2 linked regions of the Arabidopsis thaliana genome follow. The protein of the gene in region 1 interacts with the protein of each later gene in a pairwise test. Each region holds a gene or a part of one and is shown on either strand. Other genes may lie near its edges.

Region 1 (9,773 bases):
ATTGCTTTTTGTCTTTTTCTACATATTTTGTGTCTTTTTATGGAGTATTAATTTGGGTTTAACCGTCAAATAATTTATGTTGCATGTAAGTATTCACTATTACGGTGTGTAAAAGAAGATCTTTCGATGGTCTTGTGCCCATTTCCGACTTGACTACTCGGTCAAATATTTTAGCGTAATTCGGTTTCAGCTAAAGGTTTTTAGACTTATCGATTTAATGGTGTGAAAAACGGTCAATTATATTCATTTACAAGTTTAAGGATTTTGTTGTTATGTGTATATGAATTTTCGAGTTTGCAAATTCGTACACAAATTTGGACAAGAATCAACTATAGCTTATGTATTTTTGAATAATTTGTGGTTTTTACCATTTTTAAATAATAAAATTATGATTTAACATGCATTTTACCTTTTATATTTGGATTTAGTCAGTTCTATTTATTTTTAAAATTTAGTATTTAATATACAATATGTATTTTGCGAAAAAAATATCGTACATACGTATATTTTTAAATATTAAAAATAATAAATACGTAAAATTTTAGTAAAAATGACATTTTTAAAACAAAATATCAAAAAATGGTAAACTAGACAATAATACCATTTTATGATTGCGAATTGCTTCCAATGACATCATGGGGAGGTGGATCACATGGTGCCACAACCAGCTTTAGAAACTCAAGGTGGCTCAAGATTCAACAGCCCATGATGGCTCAAGATCTGAGTATCTGACGAACAAATTAAATGACAATATTATTTTTAAGTCAATACTTTTCAGTTTTTCTAATATTTGTTTTAACTTCTATTTATTGTAGTTTAATTATAATTAATACATTACATTTAATTTTAAATTTTATAGTAAAAATCTGCATGAAAAAATATATAATCTTTTTTACGATATGTTTTGTGATAGTTAGTATGTAATACTTGTTTTGTTTTCCATGCCTAATTCGGCCAAACAAAGATTAACTAAGTCAAACAAGCTGCTAATATGGTAAAACGGTCCATTAGAACATCGGCCCATTAAGACAACGGCTCGACCCAAATAAAGATGGTTCAACTCAACATAACAGTGGCTTAGTCTAGTAATATTTTAGCTCGGTCCATTTTAGTTTGGCCCAACCTGATAGATTCGAAAAGATAAAAAGGAGAAATCGCAAGAGAGACAAAGAGAAGCGTATATCAGCTCTTTGCCTATAATTAGCAGAAGACACTATACAGAAAAGGATTCGGACCACAAGTCATTACTTAGGTCAGCTCGTCGCATAAATTTATTTTGGACGAAATATCTTTGATTTTTTTTTTTTGTCAATTTGGATAGTACCATCACAAACATCATCCTTTACATATATAGTGAATAACTAATCATTCAAATGTTTTACTAGTCAATCCATTGTTCATTTTTTTTTTCTTTTGTAGTGATATTCAGATTTTATTCAATTGCACATAATAAATTTTAGTATCCATTAGAAAAAATGGCCTCACAGAAAAAAGTTTATCAGTTAAAGTAGTATCTAGATTTATGTTTATAAGGTTTTACTATCTATTTTAGGTACTTTCTTTACTTTTCTTAGCTTAAATTATAATTCATGTTTCAGAGATTAATCAGTCCATTCTTGTACACATGATCAGTTGCAAATACCATTAAAAAGAAGTCGGGGATGTACTGTGGGAATATAAGTACTATACTATAAGCAGATTCGATCCCAACTAGTGCAAAGCATTTCAATCTTCATTACAAAAGAAAAAAGTAGCAAACAAAAAAGCATTATCTAAATTTAATTATCCAATCGTCATTAGAATCATTGAAAAGGATATAATTGATTTTAATATCTAAGTGGTAACCACATCAATAATTATAAACTTTATTATAGAAAAAAAAACGTAGCGAATCATCGTCACTCTCAGTCGTTTTGTGGCATATACAATAATAAGCCAAAACACAATGAATCTGGACAATTTGCGAGGCATTATTCACTAGTTTACAAGACTTGCCGCTCACTGATAAACATTTTGGACCACAAAGCAATAAGGCAAATAGTGTTTTCGGGGAATACAAAAATATACAATAATTCTACGGACTTGAGACTTAGCTATAAGTCAATATTGAATATTTTATAGAAATCCGAGACTAGTGGAGACATCGCATGAATTAAGACGGTTTATCAGCATTATTCAAGATTGATTTGGTTTGCATCTAACTAACATGATTAAAAATAAGAACCATTGATTAATTCATTCCTTAGAGTATGGGTTCATGCTTGCATATAAATCACTCGTTCGATTTATTTCGTATTACATCTATTTATTCTGTTTAGGTGCAAAGCCGGTCTTAATAGAATATTGTCTTGAGAACATACATATATAAACTGTCATTGTTTCTATCTCCATAAATTTTGAAATCGATCCTAACTAGTTGAATAATCCCTCTATACCAAGAAGGCAAGAACCGACATTTGAATTAATTTAACCAATTATCTTCCACAATTACTTTCTTTTTGTTGTCCATTGTTCTTCATTTACTTTTGGGTTGAATTTATGAACTCAACAAGTCAACAACATTTTATGAATCATATCAATTTTGGGTACACAATCGTGAAGATAATAACGGAGAAAGCTTGCTAAAGACTTAAAAGTGGTGTTTGTGAAGCAGTCTATATGGCCCACTATTAAACATATGTGATATCATGCATGAGTTTTGGTTACTCATTCAAAAGTATGCTGAACAATTCTTTTTTTGTTTTCAAAAATTACGGGTATGTTAGATTATTTTGAGTTAACTAAAAAGCATAGAAGATTAAAAAAATGTTACATTTTTTATATAAAATATTACAACTACATCTAGTGCCGGCTTAGCACATGTGCTTAAGGTGCTAGGACATATGGTCTAGGGTCCAAAAAAAAAAAAACATGATATGATTACATAATAGCACTGGATCTACAAAATGTTTGAGCCGGTCCTGACTACATCACATAATTTCATGCTAATGTTTTTGTGTGTTCTTACGCCTAACGTCTTCTCTACACAAAACAAAAACATGATCATGATTTAGATTTGGCTGAAAACAGAGTTCTTGATTTGAATTTGACTGGAAAAATGTTTCTTGATTTGGTTGAAACATGTTTTCTTATTCGCCTTACTCTCGGATACCTCGTAGCTGAGAAGATATGGACATTGTTCTTTATAGAAATAATGTAAAGCACGACTTCCATACCTTCTTGCAAGGATCTTTGATAAGTTCCTATCCTCATTAACATGTGTTGCACCTTGTTTTTCGATCCTCTAAGCTTCCAAGTATATGACTACAACAACGAGATTGAATATCTAATGATACAAATGGTATCTTAACTATATACTTTCTTTTCAATTCTTCTGGTAATGTGTATTTAACAATTAATTTTGCTAATCTTGGATGTAGCTTTGCACATGGATTGCTACAGATTAGAGCTGTCACAGCGGGCTGTCCATGTCCATTAGCCCAGTCCAATAATGTCCATTTCGATATTGGACAAATAGTGTTCATGTCCACTAAGGCACATGTCCATTAACGCCCGTGCCCATTAATGTCCATGTCCAAATGGGTTGTCCAATAGGCATAACAAAACCAAATTTTAACACAATAGTATTTGCTTCAGCAAGATGCTTGAATGTTTCTTTGTAAATAATCGCTCTAGAGAGCATTAGATGTGTAGAATTCCATTTTGTGCTTACTACCAATTCTTTTTTCTGTTTAAGTAACTCATATTAGTGAGCTAAGCTTTTGATATTTGCAGTTTCATGAATACACGGTGTCAAAGGACCAAGCTTCATAGTTCATACTATGCATAATGCAGACAATGAACACTATATCAAACAATAGTAACAGAAATCGAAAGAGACCCATGTCAAAATCACTCTCAATAAGCAAAAAACAGTAACAAAAAATCATTTCGAATTGAGTAATCAAAAACCCAGATCGAATTGAGTAAAAATGACGAGAATTTGCTTACTTGAACTGGATTAGGAATCTCAGGAGGATCCATGATGTGATGGAGTTGAGATGTTGAAGGAACTCGCCGGAGAAATCGCCGGAAAGAAGAAATCGCCAAATAAGCGTCGGGGAAATGTTTTTTCCCCAAATTTATTTTTGCCCGAACACTTAAACCTAATATTTTTTGACCATTGGGCCGCCCATGTCCATCACGTCCAGTCCGCTGATGCCCATGTCCGTTAACGCCCATGTCCATTAATGCCTGCTTCATAATGGGCTTGTCCATGCCCGGTCCATTAGGCGTTGGACACGGGCCACTCGTCCATTTTGATAACTCTACTACAGATCAATCGTTCAAAGAAATAATAAAATCTCAGTAGACCTATGTTTGGAAGAAACAAGAAAATTTCATAGATCCGTATAATGGATCCATGATTCAAGATTAGCATAATTAAATTCGAAAGTAAATTGACCTTATAACTAAAGTAAAGTGAATTAGGTGGTTACAGTTTTTTCCAATGACATTGTAACATAATATCTTACAAAAGCCAATATTACTATTTGAAAGGTACTTCCGTACTAGTAATGTAGGGATTTGAGACGTGATTATTTATCCTTAATATTCTAATTAGATTGAAGGTTTATATATTAAGTTTTCCATAGTTAAAAGTCAATCTTGAAACAAAAAGATAGTTTGAGGGTTCTCTTGTAAATTTCCTAAAAGTAAAACATTAATACCCTAAAAATCGAAAAATCAGAAAAAGCTTCGGAGCAAGAAAAATCAGAGAAAATTCAAAAACCCTTCACTTGCCTCACTGTTCTTCGTCATGGCGAACAATCCTTCACAGCTTCTTCCTTCAGGTATGCAATTTTTTCTTCACATCTCTCACTTTCCACCTTCTTATATGTAAGAAAATCGAACTAGATCTGCGATTTTTTGGTTTTCAATTTTTGAGCGATTTGGTTTGTTTGTGCAGAGCTAATCGATAGGTGTATAGGGTCTAAGATTTGGGTGATAATGAAAGGAGATAAGGAGCTCGTTGGTATTCTCAAAGGATTCGATGTTTATGTCAACATGGTTCTTGAAGATGTCACCGAATAGTAAGTCTGATTTTAGGGTTTCGATTATTGCTTCATATCTTGTTTAATTGGAATGTTGCTTGATCTATTACACTTTAGGAGGTGAATCATAGACATTGAACCATGGATGTGATTATGCAGAACTTAGCCTTTTGGATTTTGTTTTTGGGTAATTGATCTCAATACTGATTTGTGAATGTCCATCACAGTTCATTCATTTGCTGATTAATGACATTTATTGTGTATGCATAGAGTCTATTTCAGCGGGGTCATATGTGGTTTCGGTGACTTGAGTTGTTTGTGGTTGTGTGAGGATTAGTTAATTGATGCTTAAACCCGTGTTGCTTTGGAGTTAGGATCTCATAGATTCAAGTTTTGATTGTAACAAATTCTTGATTGAATTGTAACTAGAGTGTGTTACTAATTTATCTAAGCATCGTTGTGTAGTGAGATTACGGCAGAAGGAAGACGGGTCACAAAGCTTGATCAGATTCTACTCAATGGCAACAACATCGCCATTGTAAGTAAAAAAACACTTGTGGTTACTCATAGCCATACGTTGTATAAACTTCCTTGTGATGAATTTTCAAGTATCTTGATATAAACAGTTGGTCATTTGAATAGTCAAATTGCTAAGAAACTGGTGTTGAAAATGTTTGTGATGCAGCTGGTGCCAGGTGGGTCTCCCGAAGATGGAGAATGAGATTTGCGAGATTTGATTGGTGTTTTCAGACTTGTGTGAGGAAGGATGTAACTTTTGGTTTTAGATTTAACACTTTGTTCAGAGAAAAGTAGTTGATTTTAAACTCAGAATGACAAAAGTTTTCATTGTTCAGCAATGTGAAAGAGCTAAAGCATCATATTTATTAGACTCAATGCATCATTACTTCTACTTATTCAAGCTCTCTTCGATGTTCTAATGACTATCCCCGTTAGCCACACGAGCGTTGGACAAGTTATCAACAGAGTCTCCCCTCTCAAAAACAGCTGCAGCTCCCATTCCAGTGCCTGTGACGTTCGCATTTTACATATACCATTAACATAGGTAATCATTGATCCAATTCAATCTGAAAAAAAATCTTATATATATACCTATGCACATTGAGATTACTCCAAAGCGGCAATCTTTTCCTCTCCGCTTCATCTCGTGCAACAATGTCGCAACACATCGAGCTCCTGAACATATAGAAAAGAACTCTATTAGCCTGTAACAAATGTTGCATTTTATTTAGTTACGACAAGCTTGGTAAGTAGTAACCTGTAGCACCCAGGGGATGGCCAATAGCAATGGCTCCTCCATTAACATTGACCTTTTCCATATCCAGCTCTAACTTCTTGCAAGAGTACACATACTGAGATGCAAATGCCTGTTTAACAATGCAACAATAAAGATTTATATGTATGTATTATTCCGAAACAGGAAAAAAACCAATGTGAAATATTTTGTTACCTCATTGATCTCGAATAGATCAATATCGCTGACGTTGAGCCCTGCGAGCTTAGTTGCAGCGGGAATGGCAACAGCTGGACCAATACCCATTACAGATGGTTCCACACCAGTAACAGCAAAACTCCTGCATTGTTCCGGAATCAGATTTGCTCGGTTTCTTGAACTGGCAAAATGTTGTATATTCATTTTACCTGAATACTCCAAGAATGGGAAGTCCCTTCTTCATAGCCAAACTTCTCTTCATTAGCAGTACTGCTCCAGCACCATCACTGATCTGACTAGCATTGCCTACACAAAACACATATACTTAAATGCTTCAATCTATGATCTCACTTATGCCAGTGATAGTTAAGAGAGTTGTTTCTAACCAGCTGTGGTGGAACCGTTCTGTTTAAAGACAGTCTTCAGCTTTGCCAAATCTGCCATGTTTGAGTTTGGACGTACACCGTCATCAACAGATACGACGATTGCCTTCTCTGCTTTAGTCTCAGGGTCCACAATCTGTCAAGAACAATATCATTTACTGAGAAAGCTCTACCAAAAGGGCTTTAAAGGAAGTTTGGGAGGTTCTTGTTTTACCTTAGTAGCAACAGGAATGATTTCATCCTTGAGTTTACCAGACGCGATTGCAGCTGCAGCGCGTTTGTGAGACTCCACCTGATTATTACTGAATCAGTACTTATATGAACTAGAGAGGAAAAAAGTGAAGAGAATAACTAACTAACCGCAGCCATATCTTGCTCTTCTCTTGTGACACCGAACCTTTCTGCAACGTTTTCAGAAGTAATTCCCATTGGAAGCAAACAATCACGGGCTTTTGGGAAATCCTGTGCCTATTCCCATGTAGAGTTTACAAGATCATCACAAAACTCTTCTTGTTGAGTAAATTTATACACTCATTGTGATAGCTTACTCTTGGATTAGAGCCATGAAAGCCGCCTCCAGGAATATGATCAGTTGACATTGATTCCACTCCAGCACCAATACCTATGCAATTCACAAAGTTGAGAGAATCAATCCCATGGCCTATACAAGCAGCTAGAGACTACAAAAAACTGATGCAGCAGCATCTTACCAATGTCGTAATAACCAGCTCTAATGGAAGCAGCAACATCAGCAACTGCTTGTAGTCCTGATGAGCATTGTCTATTGACAGTTCTAACTGGCACGGAGTCTAGCTCGTAAAAGAGAAGGATGAAGAAACATATCAACAACTTGTGAGATATTAAGTTTATCTTGATTCTTGAATGAGATTTAGTACCAGGAAAACCAGCAAAATAAGCTGCAACTCTACACTCCATTGCTCTCTGAGAACCAGGCGCTATCACGGTACCAACAACGATATCACCAACTTCACTTGGATCCAAAGATGTTCTTTCCACTACAGCCTAATCAGAACAAACCATGAAACATAAGAAATCATTGATACTACTACTCCATGCATGCACAAGGTTTAATTGATGACTTACCTTAAGAACAGAAGCAAGAAGATCATCAGGAAGAGTGTCTTTGAAACCTCCACGTCTCGCTTTGCAAATGGCGGTACGATATGCCCTGAAGAAGAAGAAGAATCAAGAAACAAAGAAAACTAAAGAAAGTGAAAGTGAAGCAAACTCAATGAGTATACTTACGCTACAATCACAATGTCATCTCCAAAAGCAGCCATTGGGGAAACTTCAGAAACACAATTCACAGGCTAAAATTAACAAAAACACAAGTGAGTCACATAATAAAACAGAGTTAAAGATCATCAGCTTCCACAAACAATTTCAATGTCTAATTAAGACTCACGGATTAAGACAACTAAACTTACAGACAGAAGAGAAGGTTCATGTTTAAGAGAAGAATTAGAAGAAGAAACTGGATTGAGATGACGAAGCAATATCTTTTGTCTTTCCATAGCTCTCTCCATGATTCTCTCTGTTGCAAACACTTGTGTTGCAGCTGAATTCTAATGGTGATTGAAAGACAAAAACTTTCCGGGGAAACTGAAATGGGTTTGGTTGATTTTTCTGGAAAGGGGAAGACGTTAAGTACAATGAGCTTCAGGGTCCTCATTTTTATCGTGGGAGAGATTTTTGATCGATCGTTCTCAGTTCTCACAAGTCTGGTCTGATTGGCCTCGTTGCCAAAACCTTGTCTTGTCGTATTTGTATAAGTTAACGTCGTTACGAAAATATCGCATTTTGACATGTTTTACGCCACATACAAACTCACGCCGTTAAAAATGTGACCGGAAATTAATCGTCGGCAACTATAACTAAACCGGGCCACGTGGGAAGAATCTAACTTTTAAGCAATAAATGTTTCTTCTCATTTTGGGTATTAGTGATTTTGATAATTTGAGTAATTTACAAATTTAGAAGAATTTGAGATAATTTATAAAATTTTAGTGAATAATTTGGATATCCAGATAATATACATGATTTGTATTCTTTACCCACAAGAATTCATATCGGATATAGATTTAAGTTGTTTTGTTTAGTAAGAAAGAGTTAAGTATCCTTCAATTATTTTGTAAAATTCTCGTCCAAAAAATAGTTGTTGTGACTAGAATATACCATCTAATAAATCAATTTTGAGAGACTAAAACGGATTTTCTTAGATAAGTAAAGTCTTTAAGACTCGTAAAAGATAAGATGGAGAGAGGTCAAGAAAGTTACCCGACGGATGAATGAGCTAGTAAGAGTTCCAATAGATATCAAAATCTAAAAGTAGACAATATGCAAATGTTGAGATAACCGATTGTTCAAGATTATATATACAAAAATAGTGTTGAGAGTTAGATGAGGAGTGAAAGAAGTGACGTTGCATTTGGCAATTAACTCTTTTGCCATACTCTTTTGATCCTCCACCACTCTTCCTACCAACCTCCTTACTTATCTTTCATTTTTATGCCTACCTAACCTTCCATTCATGTTAGATTTCTTGCAAACCTAATTTCTTTTATTTGTTTATTAAGTATCTAACTTATTACATAAAGTAAGGTTTTGAACTGGTTTTGTTTTTCTATTTTAAAATGTTTAATTATCTATTTAAAAACAATAAATCAAATATTGAATTGATTAAATATGTTACTAGGTTTCTCTTAAATCTATACATATATATATATATGTTTTTCAATGGAGGTTGTCGTCGATTTCGATTCAGATTACTCCGACAAAGAGGAAGAAGAACCAGTTCAACATCTTCAAACAGTTCTTCTTCCCATTCTCTAATAGTCAAAGTGAAACCATTATGAGGCAAAGTATTCCATGCAAACAATACTATTT
Region 2 (11,407 bases), on another chromosome or scaffold:
AATAGAGAGATTTGAATTTAAAAATCTCCGATCTATTTTTTGTTAAACACGAGAAAATATAATTATTTAATAAATAAAAAAAGACAAAAAGATTCATATTACAACAGATGGCGACAACTGACATTGAAAAAGACAAAACAGCTTCAAACAAAATAAAGAAGAAGCAGACACATACATACACAAACAAAAAAAAACTAAACCCCAAACATTTTTTGAAAAATGTGTTATCTGTTGAACCGCGGGATTTTTCATTTGTAAGGTTTCCGCCACACACTTTTTGATTTTCTCATTCCAAGGTTTCACTTTGCTACTTCACATCGATTTCATTTGCTTTTGAATTCTCCAAAGGTTTCATCTTTGTACGGTCAAACCAAATAATTAGCTGAGAGCTCCCAGTATAAGAAGCAGGTACGGATCTGTTCTGAGATTCATGGTTCTGTAATTTTTGCTATTATCTCGTGAAGTTGTCTGGGTCTCAGTTTTCTCGTATTGGATGTCTTTATTTCTGGTCTGAATCGAGTCTGCAAGAATGAGATTTGAAAATGTAGCTTAAAGTATTTTGACTTTAAGCAGAAATCTTACGATTTTAGTGTGATATTTCCTTCTGTTGTGCAGTTGGAATAATTGTTTTGTCTTGAAATTTTTGCTATTTTCTCGTGTAGTTGTCTGATTTGGAGTTAGTTGTCTGGTTCTCATTTTCCTCGTATATGAGTCTTTATTTCTGGTCTGAATCAAACTTGCAAACATGAAATTTGAAAATGTAGGTTAAAGTTTATGACTTTAAGAATAAACTCTATGCTGTTGGTGTTATTTGTCTTGTGTGTTGCAGTTGAAAATTAGCTGTCTGGTTCCCAATTATCTCGTATACGGTGTTTATTGGTTTCAATCGAGTTTGCAAGGCTGAGATTTGAAATATAGCTAAAGTTTATGACTTTAAGAAGTAGCCTTATGTTGTTGGTGTGATTTTTTCTTGTGTGGTGCAGGTTGAGTAATGGGTTTGAATCTGAATCCAATATTGAGACAAGAACTGGCTAATCTTGACAAAGACACAGAGAGTCGTAAATCAGCAATGAAAGCTCTTAAATCTTATGTGAAGGACTTGGATTCAAAGGCTATTCCTGGTTTTCTAGCTCAAGTTTTCGAGACTAAAGAAACCAACTCTTTGTCCGGTGAATACACGATTTCGCTTTATGAAATCCTTGCTCGTGTTCATGGACCTAACATTGTGCCTCAGATTGATACAATCATGTCCACTATTGTCAAGACTTTGGCTTCTAGTGCTGGTTCTTTCCCTCTTCAACAAGCGTGTTCGAAAGTTATTCCGGCGATTGCTCGATATGGGATCGATCCGACTACTACAGAAGACAAGAAACGAGTTATAATCCACTCTTTGTGTAAGCCTCTTACGGATTCTCTATTGGCCTCTCAAGAGAGCCTTACTTCAGGGGCTGCTTTGTGTTTGAAGGCTCTTGTGGATAGTGACAATTGGCGGTTTGCTTCGGATGAGATGGTGAACAGGGTTTGTCAAAATGTGGTAGTTGCGTTGGACTCAAACTCCAACCAAACACATCTTCAAATGGGTTTGGTTATGTCACTTGCCAAGCATAATCCTTTGATTGTTGAAGCTTATGCAAGGTTGCTGATACACACGGGGTTGCGAATTCTAGGATTTGGAGTATCTGAAGGAAACTCGCAGAAACGATTATCAGCAGTCCAAATGTTGAACTTCCTTATGAAGTGCTTGGATCCGAGAAGCATATACTCGGAAGTTGAGTTGATAATAAAAGAAATGGAGAGGTGTCAATCTGACCAAATGGCTTATGTTAGAGGAGCTGCTTATGAAGCAATGATGACTTCAAAAAGAATAGCGGCAGAGCTCGAGTCGAAGATGGAGAAAGGTTGTCGTTCTGTTACTGGTTCGAATTTCAGTCGAAGAAACTGTTCGTCCATTGTTCCTGATTACTCCTTATCACCTGAATCACAGACTCTAGGCTCTTTTAGCGGGTATGATTCTCCGGTTGAGTCCTCGCCTATTTCTCATACTTCTTGTAACTCTGAATTTGATCGGAGGAGTGTGAACCGCAAACTTTGGAGACGTGATGAGAATGGAGGAGTGGTTGATATCTCTTTAAAGGATGGTCTTTTCTCCCGTGTAACTAAAGGAAGCACCACTGTCTCTGATTCACCTCTTGTACCGTATGATACTTGTGAAAATGGAGATGAATTTGAAGGGTTTCTAATGGAAAGTTTGAGAAACACCACTCCTAGTCCTCAGGTGAACATCAATCCATCTTTGTTGTATGTTTGTTAGTTTCATTTATGTTAAACATTTCTGACTTTTCTGATACACAGAGACAGCGTTCACGTCGCATCAATGCTGAAGATTTCAACATCTTCAGCACTCCACGGAAGCTAATCAGCTCTCTTCAATATCCTGATGATGTTGATTTAGATCATTCAGACATCCAAAGTCCAATACTGAGAGGCGAGAGAGAGAAAACCATAGGATCTCGCAAGAATCCTAAACTCAGAAAGCAATTTCCAACCATGGTGGAAACAATGTCATCAACTATCACAGTTAGTGAAGACACAGCTCAAACACAGATGATAACCGGTAAGAAGAAGAAGAAGAAGATGAGCTATGCCAAACTCGTTATTGCGATATCTTTTGTTGTGGTGGCTCTCTTCGCAACTGTGATATTGATGGTGAATCAAGATGATGATGTTGGTTACTACACTGTCCCTACATGATTCACCTCTTATTGGTGTTAAGTTTAATCGTAGTGTAGCAGAGAGAGTAGTTTAGCTATTTAATTACGTGTTAGTTGTTTGTAATGAACTTGATACAAGATGTAGTAGAATCTTCTTCTACTTGTTGTTCTCATTTTGTTTTGTATGGAAATGTTAAGAATATAAACGATGTTAGTACAAAAGGCTTCAAAAGAGAATGGTGTGTGGAATTAGCAGATATGCGGATCCGGTATAATCCGGGATGAGAACACATTGGCTATATTTATACATAGAACCGGTTCAAGGTTGATAATTTTTTCCGGTTTAATCAAACCGGTTCGAGCAATTTATTAGCTTCGAGAAAAGGAACAATTTATTCACTCGTTAAGGGTTTTGCGCACATCCGCCTCATGATGACAAACTCCGATTCCGACCACTGTACTCCGGCGAAAACCTCAATTTCTGGGGATGGATTAGAAAAAGAGAGCGACTTTAAGAAGCAACTGAACTCTGAGATAGATCCACAAGCTTCTTCCTCGCAAAACGATGCAATAACTATGGAAGATGGAGCCGTCTCTGTAAACAATAGGGATCTGCAAGAGATAAAGGAATCATCCTTCTCTAAAGGAAGTGAGCAATATCGAGTTGATGGAGCCCTTGAAGAAAGTTTGAATTTTGAGGAGAAGGAACAAGAATCTGAAGCTCAGAGACTATTGGAAGCAGAGAAGAGAAGATTGCTGGCTGAAATCGAACTTGGGTCAATCTTTAGGAAGAGTGTTGATGTGGATACGTTGCCTAAGATCGAAGAGACGATGGATAATGATGTTGATAAGATTGAATTGGTTGATCATACTGCGTTGGTTGATGTTGTTCATCATCCTAAGAGACCAGGGACTGCTCAAAATGAGAAGGATACACCTAGAAAGCTTAAGAAAATTGGAGATAAGAGAAATGTTATTGAGGGGAGTGGAGTAGAAAACAATGGGAAGCAGTTTAGGAGATTGTACACTAGGAAACAATTGGAGTCAATGAGGTTTGCCCACATTGTGAATCAGAAGAACCTGTGGAGTGAGATGTATTCTAGGATTCTACCTGAGGTGGTGACTGAGTATGAAAGTTTAGTTTATGTGAAGAATTACAAGAGTTCAAAGTCTAATCGTGTTCGTGGGCGAACGGAGAGTGGCAATGGTAATCTCGATAACCTCGCAGATGCTTTGTTTGTCTCTTATTCCTTGCATTCTTCACCTGACTGTTTTGTTTTTCTTGTTGTTGGTTGAGAATAACTTTAGGTGTATCAAATTTAGATAGATAGGTCTAAGAAATAGGAGTAAATATGTTGCACTTTTCCGGGTTTTGTGGTGTTTTCTTTCTCAAATGGGTCATCACATACAAATCCAGTCTGCTTTAGTATCAGTGAGTTTCGGCAGTGGTTTTTCCTATTAAACAACTTCAATGGTTTCTTGTTGCTAAGCATCTTTTTCATGGTTTGGATGTCTGTCTGTTTTCCTGCTCGAGAGCTCTTTTCGTGTTTCTTGATCTGTTCTTCATTTTTAATTCTTCCGTCAGTTCGAGTACATAACTTGTCGTTTTGATAGGGGCCTCTTATTTTCTTTTCCACAGGTCCCATATCTGCTGTACCAAGACGTAACTGTGTGAATATATTTGTACATTGAGCTGTCAGCTGAAGAGATTTGTCAAAGTCCATTTTTCACCAATTTTCTCGTTTCTTAGACACAATACAAGTCCCTTTTTTTCTTTCTTTTTTCTATGAGCTAACAGCCTAATACCTCATACATTCATTCTGTATATAGATTGTTTTGTTCAGGTTATAAAGGACATAGGAGTTTCTTTTGGTTCAAATTATATAGGGCCATTAGTCTTTGGCTAAAGTTGTACATGTTCATACATTTTCAATAAAAATAGTGCATTCACACTCAGAACCTTAAAGTTATTATGTATTTTGATGGACTTATTTCTTCTCTGTTTCTATGCACGCTCATTTCTGTTGTGTTTAGAAATCCTTTTGTTTGTTCCTGTTACTTACCTTGTATGATTATTTCTTCAGAAGAAAATTTGGGGACTGAAGAAGGAACGGAGGACCCTGAAGACTACACTGACGATAATGATGATTACAATAGCATTTTGAGACCTGCGTTTGAAGTAGATGGAGAACCTGATTTTAGTACTGGACCACCAGAAGATGGGCTTGAATATTTAAGACGAGTCAGGTATATTATCTCTCTGTTTCCATCTTTCTGTGTCTTTACACTTTTAAACTTTTGGTATTATGGTTAAGTTGTTTTGTTTCCTCAATTTAGGTGGGAGGCTAAGGGAATTCCGAATGTAAGAGTAGCCAAGATAGATGAAAGCACGTACATAAAGAAAGAGCAAAGTGTTTATATGCCACTAATTCCTGAAATCCCCAAATGTCCAGAGTACCTGTTACCCATGAAGGAATGGGAGGACTCGTTGCTTTTGGACTTTGTACACCTTCGCCAGGTATTTTTTCCTGATATTTCATCTGACTTACATGGTTGGTTAATAGCAGTCTCTCTCTTAATAGACGAAAATGAAAGTAAGTGTTGTTATTTTTACAGACTCTAACACAAAGTGCCAACAGCTGTGAGGATGAGATAATATCAAGTCAGTGTGTAGAAGATTTGCTTGTGGAGATGTTCAATAAGCATCTCCACACAGAGGAGGATGAGTCTTTTGGTGAGGTGGTAACAGACATACAAGGAATGGACTCGGTGACGCGGGTATCAAAGCTGAAAAAGCGTATATGTTTGGTTGAGAAGGAGAGCGGTTTACAGAGTAGCGATTGCAAATGGGTAGTAGCGTTGTGTGCATCATTGGAGACTCCTTTGGATGCCGATACTTGTGCTTGTCTAAGGGGTCTTCTGAGGAAGTGTGCTAGTGTTCGTGCAGAGACATCATTAGAGGTTGGAGATGAAGAAGTTATCACCATGGCAAATATGCTCATCACCATCGCCGGCAGATACTTTGGCCAAATGGGACAGTAATAAGTGAAGAAGAGAGTGGACATGACATGCCCTTACTTTTCTCTCATATGTGCTTTTGAATCTTACATGAGCTTTAATGCCATTTTTTGTAGTGTCCCCTTTGTTATGTCATCTGTGATGTTCGGAATCATCGTATTTGTGCGAAGTAAGCTCTTTTTTTTTGGGATCTTGTTGAGGTTATTGAGATCTTCACAACTTCCGTGGATCGGCTAGATAGAGTCTTCTTATCATACCGAGTTCTATCATTGTCATTGTTGAAGGAAATTACAAGAACTACGTTGCTGTAGTGGTTTCAATTTGTTACAATTCAGTTTAAGTGCTCTTTGTTTCTTCTTCGTTTGGATATTGCACCAAATAGTAGTCAGATACTACGTTTGGATGCAATCTTTGATATTATTGTTACAAAGAAAAAAAGAATAAAGAAAAACATGTAATACATATGTAATATACTTCGAAACATATGTAATTTTGCAGTTCCCAAAACAATGTTCTTTTTGTTTTTGACATGGTAATATGAAATTACTTTTATAAACAGATGTTTCAAATAATATTTGCGAATTTTAATATTTTTGGTTACAGAATTAGTTTGTACGAGTATGTTAGTTCTATCTTAATTATTAATAATTTAATAGATAATCATATTTTATCATAACAGAAATATTTTGTTTTATAATTTAGATGATAACCAATTTGAATTACTGATGACAGAAAAAATAGCAGTTTGAATTACTCATCCAAGAAAATACTAGTACTTAAAAGACATGTAATTATTAGATTAATTTAGTTTAACGCATTCAGACCAATAAGTAGATAATCTTACTACATACTGCAGCCGGCCTGAAGAACCTATGCATTATTTAAGCTATTGCTTATAAGAAAAATTAACTGTGATTATGTTATTATCTACTGGTCTAATAATGTTGTATAATGCTCAGTTTGGTGGACATTGGTTTCACTCTCGTCTATTGATTTCAAGATGTTACATTGTATGTTGGTTGTCCTGTGATTCATATCCGTGTACCAGTAAAAACTCAAAAATCCTCTTAAACACACAGAGAGACATGGTGACGATAAAACGACGGCGTATTTGCGGTTTGACTCTTGTTCCCCAAAGTCTCAACTCTCAAGGTCGTTGGGTGGTCCAATCTCAAATCTGAATGGAGGAAGTGATGATTTCTCCGGTGGAGCACGACCCTCAGGGCCAGGTTAAGCAGCAGCAAGCGGCCGGCGTTGGTATACTGCTTCAGATTATGATGCTCGTGCTTTCCTTCGTTCTCGGCCATGTCCTCCGCCGTCATCGATTCCACTATCTTCCTGAAGCCAGCGGTTCGCTTCTCATTGGTATAATCCTTTCTCTCTTCCTTTGGCTTTTGCTCTCTCTCTCTTTGATTTCTCTTATCCCTAGCTTCTTCTTCCGTCGTAATTTTCAGGTTTAATCGTCGGTATACTTGCTAATATCTCCGATACTGAGACTAGCATTAGGTTTTGCCCTCCTCCAAGTATCCCTGAGTTTTCCCTTTTATCGTTTCCTCGCTCACTGGTTTGTTCTTTCTACTCTGTATCAGGACGTGGTTTAATTTCCACGAAGAGTTCTTCTTCTTGTTTTTGTTGCCTCCCATCATATTATATCCTTTGCTTCAATATCTGCATTTCATCCTTCAAATTCGCTGCTGCTATGCTATGTATAATGGATGTCATTTTCCTTGACATCATTCATTTGTTTGAACCCAGTCAGGTTTCAGTCTTCAACCTGTAAGTGCTTATCTTTCTTTCTTCCACAATAGCTGACTTGAACAGTAGCTAAGATCATTTTTGTATGGATGCAGAAACCATTCTTTTCTAACTTTGGAGCCATTGTTACCTTTGCTATCATCGGAACTTTTGTCGCTTCAGTTGTTACTGGTGGTCTGGTGTAGGGATCATCACCCTCTTCTTTCTTAGCTTCTTTGTTTTGCTTCTACCTTATCTGTTTTTCCCGCCTTTTTTGCAGTTATCTTGGCGGCTCTATGTATCTCATGTATAAACTTCCCTTTGTTGAGTGTCTTATGTTTGGTGCACTTATATCAGCTACGGACCCTGTCACTGTACTCTCTATATTCCAGGTGCTTCTGCTTTTCCTTTTACTATCAGTTTCCACAGGATACAAGTATTCGCATGTATTTTCCCTAAAATGATGCCTTGCATTGTGATGAACATTTATTTGATGGCAGGATGTGGGCACCGATGTTAACCTGTATGCTTTGGTCTTTGGAGAATCAGTTCTGAATGATGCTGTGAGTTTTTATTATCTGCTGCGATATTGGGCTCTTCCTTTTAAGTATATATGCAAACGAAAAACCACAACACTCACTAACTCCATCAAATGGGTTTTCGTGTATGTGGTGCGCCTCGTAGATGGCAATATCATTGTACAGGTCTGTATATCACATGATTCTTTTCCTTTTAGATACCTTTTAAGCAAAGTATTAAAGTACAATATAAAAACTTTCGATGCAGAACAATGTCCTTAGTAAACCGCCAGTCCTCGTCTGGGGAACATTTTTTCATGGTGGTGATCAGGTTTTTTGAGACTTTTGCTGGCTCAATGTCTGCAGGTCTGTTTGCTCTTATTCCTTCTTGATCCTTCATCACAGTTTTTATAACAATATTAGTCTCATCAAAGTCCCTCCTACCAAACTAGACGCACTATTATCTAAACAATGAACAAAAGACTAGTCGACTAGGTTTCTTTGTGAAGATTCATAGAACCAAAATAAGCAATAATTAACTTGAACTGAAACGGTCGTATTAGTTACCCTTTGAATCAGGGAATCTTTTTCTTTTAAAGTCCTTCACAGTCACATATACATCTACATATATAAGACCTGATTTTTTTCTATATATATAAGACCTGTTATTTTCTTCGTTTTCTTTTCTCCCAGAATAAATAGTTCTGCCAATAGCTTCTAACCGATTCCTTCATCGACTTCATATATTGCTTAAACATACTAACAGTCTTAATATTATTCTGCAGGGGTTGGGGTTGGATTCACTTCAGCTTTAATATCCTTCCTCGAATCCTCTATTTTTCTTATTAGATGTCACATGGCCAAAAATGTATTGTAAAATCTTAACTCAGAACACCTCTTTAAGTATGCAGGATTGGACACCGAGAAGTAAGTGCCATATCTTTTCTTAACTCTTTCTATACTGTTGTATTTACATTGTTAATACTCTCTGAACATATTGTAAATGTAATGTCTCTGTTTTCTCTTTTCTCTACCTCAGTCTTCAGAACTTGGAGTGTTGTCTCTTTGTACTTTTCCCGTATTTTTCGTAAGTAGACAAAACAACTCTCCTCCTGTCTCTTCGTATTTATGACAACACTTCTTCCCCCTAATGTATTCTGGTTATTCTGTAAGATACATGCTTGCAGAAGGTGTTGGTCTCTCCGGCATTGTTTCTATACTCTTCACAGGAATTGTAATCGCCGAGTCATTGTAGCTTTTACATCTTAGTTGATGTTAATATCTTGGAAAGACATATTTAGGCTGCCTAATATAGTGCTACTGTAGGTTATGAAGCGCTACACTTTCTCAAATCTCTCAGAAGCTTCACAGAGTTTCGTATCTTCTTTTTTTCACTTGATATCTTCGCTAGCAGAAACTTTCACGTGAGTCCAGAGCAATAACATCCATTGTTGGATAACAATTTCTACGCTTAAAGTTCTATTAGATTGATATTGATTTGTTTAATGCTTTTCTAGGTTCATTTACATGGGATTTGATATTGCCATGGAGCAGCATAGCTGGTCCCATGTTGGGTTTATCCTTTTCTCTATTGTATCCTCATTTACTGATCGTCAGTGATTGTATGCAGTGTTAGTCAGTGTTGTAAATCCTTGACTTTACCTTTTGCTTCTGCGTTTCATGACTGACATCAGTTGTTTATTGGCGTGGCTAGGTGACTAAATGCTTTTTTATCCTGGCTGATCGCTTCATTATCACCATGGTTTTCGATTCGGATTTACCTATATGTTCTGCAATGCTTTTCTCACGCAGGGCTGTCAATGTATTTGGGTGTGCATATTTGGTCAACCTATTTAGACAGGAGAACCAGAAGATACCTATGAAGCACCAAAAAGCCCTTTGGTATAGTGGTGAGTTGAGCTAATAGCTTTTGTTCTTGTCTCCTGATGCCCATTTTTATATCTACAAACTATTAAAACTTGTACACATATTGGCACATCGATAGGACTTCGAGGGGCAATGGCATTTGCACTTGCACTTCAATCACTTCATGATCTACCAGAGGGTCACGGCCAAATCATCTTTACTGCAACCACAACTATTGTTGTTGTCACGGTAACTTTCGTATTCTCTCCATGAAAAGCATCTATGTTATTTCCAGTGGTAGTATACATAAGAATCAGCGAGAGTTGGAGAATAATACATAGGCTGCGTTTCTTATCCATTGCAGTAATATTTCAGGTTTTACTAATAGGAGGTTCGACAGGTAAAATGTTGGAAGCTTTGGAAGTTGTAGGTGACGATCTTGATGACTCCATGTCTGAAGTAAACTCTCGACGATCTACTCTAATATCTTTGAAGTAAAGTTGTGTATGTACTTTTTCTAACGCTCCCAGATACGTGGTTAGGGCTTTGAAGAGAGCGATCATCAGTATGTCCCTCCTCCTTTTAGCATTGGAGCTTCATCTGACGAGGATACATCATCATCAGGAAGCAGGTTCAAGATGAAGCTGAAGGAGTTTCACAAAACGTAAGAATAAGAGAATGGCTTAGTATGTTTTCCTGAGTAAAAAGCGATATTTGCAATTTTTTGGGACTCACTTGACAAAACTTTGCAGCACTACATCATTCACCGCGTTGGACAAAAACTTTCTGACTCCGTTCTTCACAACTAATAGTGGAGATGGAGATGGAGATGGGGAGTAGCATGGAAAAGATGTGTATTTGTGGTCCAGGCCAAGCTATAATTAGAGTACACATATGTCTATGTAAGATTAACACTGGTTGATTTTACCTCTCGCAAAATGCCCACTATAAAGTTGACGATTTCCAAGACATTTCGAAATATTATATAGATGTATTTATTGTGGTACATACAATTACCATGTCAATAATCTATTACAAGAAGAAACTGAGCTCATGTGTGGGGGTGAACATAAGCATGCTCTCACCAAAATACTCAAAAAGAGGAAAGAGATAGTTGTCGACGTCAGTGCCTGCAGCAGCTGAAGTCTTCGGAGCAATTGTTGAGGGACTATTGTGGTGCCGTGCATCTGCATCTGTGTGGGACTGTTGAGGGACTGTTGTGGTTCCGCGCATCTGCATTTGTGTGGAGCTCATTTGTATAATTCCCCCTACTGCTATCTTCTTCAGTGGTGGTTGATGAGTTAAGTTGTCACTGCTTGCTTTGCGTTTACCTTGGCCGAAGAAAAAAATTATTTAAGAACGCGTATCTCCGTGTTTAGAACGCCAAAAGAAAAAAAAAGAATGAGACCAGATTTTATACTTTGCCTGGGGCTGGTGAGCTTTCCATTTGTCTTCCAGACAGAGCTAGTTGGAGGAGACAGCAGTGTCTCAGATGTTTTAAGCCGTTCATATAGGCATCGACCAGCTGCCACCTATGGAAAGTTAAAGTTTATATGCTCT

What was found.
Region 2: the proteins of SAD1 (region 1) and AT1G54380 interact in a two-hybrid assay, tested with the Arabidopsis thaliana proteins (one large-scale study listed by BioGRID).

The regions. Positions count from the first base shown.
Region 1 is NC_003076.8:19,808,609-19,818,381, forward strand, and holds SAD1 (Small nuclear ribonucleoprotein family protein), read left to right. Parts: upstream 1-4,737; 5' UTR 4,738-4,798; coding exon 4,799-4,832; intron 4,833-4,948; coding exon 4,949-5,072; intron 5,073-5,498; coding exon 5,499-5,571; intron 5,572-5,718; coding exon 5,719-5,754; 3' UTR 5,755-5,946; downstream 5,947-9,773. Other genes in the region: AT5G48860 (uncharacterized protein), read right to left, coding at 3,043-3,303, 3,991-4,257; KAT5 (peroxisomal 3-keto-acyl-CoA thiolase 2), read right to left, coding at 5,968-6,059, 6,144-6,227, 6,310-6,418, 6,502-6,625, 6,693-6,789, 6,870-7,002, 7,081-7,158, 7,227-7,334 and 6 more. UniProt on the Arabidopsis thaliana protein: Component of LSM protein complexes, which are involved in RNA processing. Component of the cytoplasmic LSM1-LSM7 complex which is involved in mRNA degradation by promoting decapping and leading to accurate 5'-3' mRNA decay.
Region 2 is NC_003070.9:20,292,633-20,304,039, reverse strand, and holds AT1G54380 (spliceosome protein-like protein), read left to right. Parts: upstream 1-3,060; 5' UTR 3,061-3,140; coding exon 3,141-3,918; intron 3,919-4,795; coding exon 4,796-4,958; intron 4,959-5,048; coding exon 5,049-5,229; intron 5,230-5,327; coding exon 5,328-5,753; 3' UTR 5,754-6,235; downstream 6,236-11,407. Other genes in the region: AT1G54385 (ARM repeat superfamily protein), read left to right, coding at 992-2,275, 2,353-2,751; NHX5 (sodium hydrogen exchanger 5), read left to right, coding at 6,911-7,094, 7,184-7,235, 7,319-7,378, 7,481-7,505, 7,580-7,665, 7,744-7,855, 7,964-8,026, 8,148-8,167 and 13 more; TAF6B (TBP-ASSOCIATED FACTOR 6B), read right to left, coding at 10,880-11,178, 11,268-11,379.